2 linked regions of the Saccharomyces cerevisiae S288C genome follow. Changing the gene in region 1 together with any one later gene gives a genetic interaction. Each region holds a gene or a part of one and is shown in the gene's direction. Other genes may lie near its edges.

Region 1 (2,963 bases):
AAAATAATGAGGAAATCAAGGAAACGATTAATATGGTAGAAGACATCATGGAAAATGCTGCCAATGGAACTCTCGACGTTACGTATAACAAACTGCATCCCTCGGTCATGGCATGGCCAATGAGAATGATTGTGAAACATGATAGCCCACAGCGGGCTTTAGAGTTATACAACCGGTACAATGAGCTTTTCTTCAAAAAGCATGATTGGATATCAAATAATAATAAATTTGTGATGATGAGATCATTGTTGGTATTACTAGCTCAAATTGAACAATGGAAAGATTTCGAAACACTTTTCGCTAAATACATGGATCGTATTGAAAACATTGAAAACTTGCCATCATCTACAACGCCAAATATTAAACTAAGAAGCATATTCAGCGGATTGTTCCCTTATAAAGTAAGTCAGTTGATTGCAATGAATAAAATCGATGAGCTGCCATTACTGTGGAAGAAATTGCGAGAAAAAGGTTTTATTTTAGATAATATATCGTGGAACAGCGCTGTAGAAGCGTTATTTAAGGATCCAAGAACCCTTTCGTATGGTATGAAAATCGTTGATGACACACTAATTCATGGGTATAATTTGATCCATAAATTTAGACTATTAACGAAACTATCCGAGGATAAGACGCAGTCCAGTGATAAATCTTGGCCAACATTAAAAATGAAGGAAAAAGAGCCCAATAAATTTCAGCCCAGACTATACTTAAAAAGCGATACATATAACAGTATAATGAGGCAGTTAGACACATATTTGGACGGTATTGATGATTTAAAAACTTTAGAAGATCAGGTACGTGACTTCATATCAAATTACAAGTATTTTATGAAAGATTACTTATTAATGCCAAGAAGCAAGATCAATAAATGGGAACAGATTGAAATGAGACATCTTTCATATTTTAAAGAACTGAGGAAATCTAAGAGAGTATTACCTGTGAGTAAATTCTAGAAATGCATATATCATATTGTATAATCAACTGCATATATATCAAAAAATCATGTAAATAATTAACAAAAATTGAGAGAGCAAAGACTAGTCTAAACTTTGTTTTTATTTTCCACGGTCAGTGTATAGTTGCCTACAGTTTCACCGTAAGTTAGCAAACCTACCCATGGTTGAACATTCCAGTGTAACTTGAAAACCAAATCCTTGCCTTCGAATTTTCCATCTTCAATATCCCAGATAGAATACTTGGATCTTAGATCGTTCACATCAATCACAGCATCATCCTTGCTTTTTATGATCTTATCCCAAAATGTTACCTCACTTGTTATTTTTTCAGTACTGTTATACTCAGCAGTTAGATAGACAAAAACTTGCTTTGTATTCCAATTGAATAGGGGAGTGAGATCTGTATTTAGATCAAATTTAATTTTCATATTTTCCTTTGCCTTGCCTCTCTGTGAGCCAAAATATCTACTTGTTCTAACATTTATTAAAGTTTTGACGTTATCGATATTACTAGGTACTGAGAACGCGTTATTATTGATTAATTGATAGTATGAGGATGCCATGATGAATACAACCATTACAATTCCCATTGAAAAGGCCTGGTTCGATACATTCTGGAATCTTTGGACAAAGGAGAACATTGTTCTGGAGAAGTGCGGCAATGCTAGCTAGCTTTGTGGGTCTTTGTCTCAGTGGAACTTAATAGGCTTAACAATCAACTTTTTTCTCCACGTCTACCGACTGTCATGAAATTAGTCGACCTTCGTTCTGCGCCTTTGAAATGAAAAATTTCAACGTAATTAAAAAAAGATAATAGATGAAAAAAAGGTAGTATTCACGTGTGGCTTCAAGAAGACACCAAAGGCAGTGGTCTAAGTTTGTGTTGGTAGAATGGCTGGCAAAGCAGGGAGGAAACAGGCTAGTTCAAATGCAAAAATAATTCAGGGCTTATACAAGCAAGTCTCTTTGTTTTTAGGAATGGCTATCGTACGTCTATTCATTTCACGTAAGGTTACAATTGGCCAATGGATTAAGCTGGTGGCTTTGAACGTTCCTATGTTCGTTGCTCTGTATATCATTGTGCTATCCGGTAAGCCCAAATATGATGGCAATCGCGTAGTAAAACAAGGTATAGACTTGAACGACAATACAAATTTGATATCATATTTTTTTGATTTGATATATCTATCACTTTTTGGTAACATTGGTATTATAGCTTTCAGGACATTCAAATTTTGGTGGTGTCTACTATTGTGCCCCATCTATGCTGGTTACAAGTTATATGGCCTCAAAAACATGTTCATGCCTGGCGCTCAACAAACTCAGGCAGATAATCGCTCAAAAAATGCTAATGAGGGACAATCCAAATCCAAAAGGCAGATGAAAAGGGAGAGGAGGGGTGAAACTGACTCTAAAATTAAGTACAAGTATCGTTAAACAAAGCTTTTCAAACGTTTTTGAAATTTTTTGCTTTCTATAGAGGAGTGTGAGTATATACAAAATAATATTTAGATATACTTAAAATGAGCATGCTACACAGGTATCTTCCAAAACACTGTCATAACGAAATTCTTATAGCCGTTCCATAAACGGGAACAATATGGGGGCAAAGTACGGCTGACATATGCATCCAACCTAAGGACATATTGTTTAAATATCTGCCTCATAGATTCACTTTGTAGGTACCTTAATTTGAAAAACCATACATAGGTTAGTCCTGCCAACATTGTACCCACTACCTCAAACGACACGTTTGCTCTTCTTACCAACAACAAGAAAAAATTGAAGGGCACTAAGAAGAGGCCCACACGTAGGCCGCAGATAATCTCAAATACTTGCGCCATCTGTAAGAAAAATCCATTGTAGTTTTGGATGAATACCGTTATTTTGGAGTTCAACAAATTTTTCAAATTAAGTGGTATCAAAGGCAAAAATGGCAAAAGGTTTTCCTTAAAATAGTTCAGGAAGTGAAAGATTGAAAAGATAACGGGACTGTATAACGAG
Region 2 (2,906 bases), on another chromosome or scaffold:
CAATTTTTTTGAAAGCCGCTGACTTAATTTCCACCAAGTATCGTTATGACATGTTAGCTGCTACAATGCTGGGCCAGGGAAAAAATGTGTATCAGGCAGAAATCGACTGTATCACGGAATTATCTGACTTTTTTAGATACTATGTCAAGTATGCATCAGACTTGTATGCTCAACAACCCGTAGAGTCAGCGGATGGTACTTGGAATAAAGCTGAATACAGACCTTTAGAGGGATTTGTGTATGCTGTTTCACCATTCAACTTTACTGCTATTGCTGCAAACTTGATTGGGGCTCCAGCTTTGATGGGTAATACAGTTGTCTGGAAACCTTCACAAACCGCTGCCCTTTCAAATTACTTATTGATGACTGTTTTGGAAGAAGCGGGATTGCCAAAGGGTGTCATAAATTTCATTCCAGGTGATCCAGTTCAAGTTACTGACCAGGTATTAGCTGATAAAGATTTTGGTGCCTTGCATTTTACCGGTTCTACAAATGTCTTTAAGAGTTTGTATGGCAAAATACAAAGTGGCGTTGTTGAAGGGAAGTACAGAGATTACCCCCGTATTATTGGTGAGACAGGTGGTAAAAATTTCCATCTAGTTCACCCAAGTGCAAATATATCACATGCAGTACTCTCTACTATTAGAGGCACTTTCGAGTTCCAAGGCCAAAAGTGCTCTGCCGCTTCCAGGTTATATCTTCCAGAGTCAAAAAGTGAAGAATTCTTATCCGATATGTTTGGCATATTGCAGTCACAGAATGTTGTCCCAATGAACACATCCGCAAGTCCAATTTCTGGTGGGAATTTGCGGGGATTTATGGGTCCTGTCATCCATGAACAAAGTTTCGACAAATTAGTTAAAGTAATTGAAGATGCAAAGAAAGACCCCGAGTTGGAAATTCTTTACGGTGGACAATACGATAAAAGCCAAGGTTGGTTTGTCGGACCCACAGTCATAAAAGCCAAGAGACCAGATCATCCATATATGTCAACAGAATTTTTTGGCCCTATATTAACTGTTTACGAGTATCCAGATACTGAATTTAATGAAATCTGTGATATTATCGATAATACGAGTCAATACGCCTTAACTGGTGCTATTTTTGCCAAAGATCGTAAAGCAATTGAATACGCAGATGAGAAGTTGAAGTTTAGCGCAGGAAATTTCTACATAAATGATAAGTGTACTGGTGCCGTTGTTTCTCAGCAATGGTTTGGTGGCGCAAGAATGAGTGGTACCGACGATAAGGCTGGTGGTCCAAACATTTTAAGCAGATTTGTCAGTATTAGAAACACAAAGGAGAACTTCTACGAGTTGACTGATTTCAAATATCCATCGAATTATGAATAAAAAAATTTTTGTGGAATAGAACCGCGAATGCAGTCACTTCATCCATCAACTCATGTAAATGTTAGATTATCGAAAAAAGGGTTTTGATTACTTCATTAGGTTTTTTTAGTTTTACAATTTTAATTTATCTAGGTAAATAGTTTAAAAATATTCATTGAACCAACCGTCCAAATTCCCGTTCTATATTCTGTCATGACTTACTTATTCACGTTGCTATTTATTCGCCGCATATTCATTCTGTTTTTGGCATAAGGACCCGTCCGGAAACAGAACATCAATTTATTAAATACGTCCATTCGTAAGCTTAAAGATGGAAACTTTGGCGAGCAGTCCCTGACAAGAAAAATAACAGCAAGAAATAATGATTTTAACCACAGCTAGATTAAATTGTAGACCAGTCACCGTTCCTCGTCTATTTAATCGTTCTTTTAGTCAATCTTTCATAATTTTGAAGAAAAAAAGTTCTACCCCTACTGAGAAAGTCGAAGAAGATGAAATTGACGTGAATGAACTGCTGAAAAAGGCAGAAACTCAATTCAAAAAAACTTTAGAAATTCAAAAACAGAAAATGAATGAGATAAAACAGGGAAATTTTAATCCTAAGGTATTCAATAGTTTAGTGTTCAAAAATAACAGAAAGTTTACAGATATTGCTACCACATCCTTGAAAGGTAAAAATGCACTTTTAATAACAGTTTTCGACCCCAAAGATGTGAAAACTGTGATCAGTGGGGTGCTTGCTGCGAACCTGAATTTAACTCCTGAAAGGGTCCCAAATAACGATTTGCAATTGAAAGTTTCGTTACCACCACCAACTACAGAATCCCGGTTAAAAGTAGCTAAAGACTTAAAGAGAGTATTTGAAGAATATAAGCAGTCATCGCTAAAAGACTCATTAGGAACTATCAGAGGCAGTATTCTAAAGGAATTCAAAAGTTTCAAAAAGGATGATGCCGTTCGAAAAGCTGAGAGGGATTTGGAAAAACTGCATAAGGATTACGTGAACAAGCTTCATGACCAATTCCAGAAAGTTGAAAAAAGCATTGTAAAATGAGGAATTTCGTAACGTGTATAGAATCAAAAAATCATAAATCTTGTACATAAAAAGTTCATTTTATATAATAATAAATACCAAATTATTGATAAGTTTGTTGCTTCCTCTAAAGTAAACTAGCTGGCTTCTTTAGCTAAAGAGAACAGTGACTTTATTCTTTGCCATGTGGAATTTGTATAAGCTCCTACGATGAAACTCTTTACAAAATTCCAAGCCTTAGCATTGTTACGAATAGGGTAGTCTAATGGTTTTGGAATTTGAGTGGAGACAAAAGGCAAAGTATCAAAACAGACACTTTTGGCATTGCACAAACCCAAAAGACCTTCTTCACCACCAAATTTACCGTAACCTGAACCATTGATACCACCAAATGGTAATTGACAAACATAGAATGTAGCAAAATCATTAATGGCTACATTACCAGTTTGTAGGCTATTTGCGACGTAATTGCATTCCTTGATATCCGCACCAAACACAGAACCACCTAGACCAAATGGCGC

What was found. Genes that interact genetically often act in the same process or in processes that back each other up.
Region 2: mutations in SND2 (region 1) and RRF1 together harm fitness more than expected from each alone (negative genetic interaction), as found in Saccharomyces cerevisiae (2 studies listed by BioGRID).

The regions. Positions count from the first base shown.
Region 1 is NC_001144.5:265,806-268,768, reverse strand, and holds SND2 (Snd2p), read left to right. Parts: upstream 1-1,850; coding exon 1,851-2,396; downstream 2,397-2,963. Other genes in the region: PET309 (Pet309p), read left to right, coding at 1-956; signal peptidase complex subunit SPC3, read right to left, coding at 1,046-1,600; PER33 (Per33p), read right to left, coding at 2,492-2,963. UniProt on the Saccharomyces cerevisiae protein: Functions in the SND pathway, a SRP (signal recognition particle) and GET (guided entry of tail-anchored proteins) independent pathway for targeting a broad range of substrate proteins to the endoplasmic reticulum.
Region 2 is NC_001140.6:182,353-185,258, forward strand, and holds RRF1 (Rrf1p), read left to right. Parts: upstream 1-1,713; coding exon 1,714-2,406; downstream 2,407-2,906. Other genes in the region: PUT2 (1-pyrroline-5-carboxylate dehydrogenase), read left to right, coding at 1-1,352; MSC7 (meiotic recombination directing protein), read right to left, coding at 2,523-2,906. UniProt on the Saccharomyces cerevisiae protein: Necessary for protein synthesis in mitochondria. Functions as a ribosome recycling factor in mitochondria.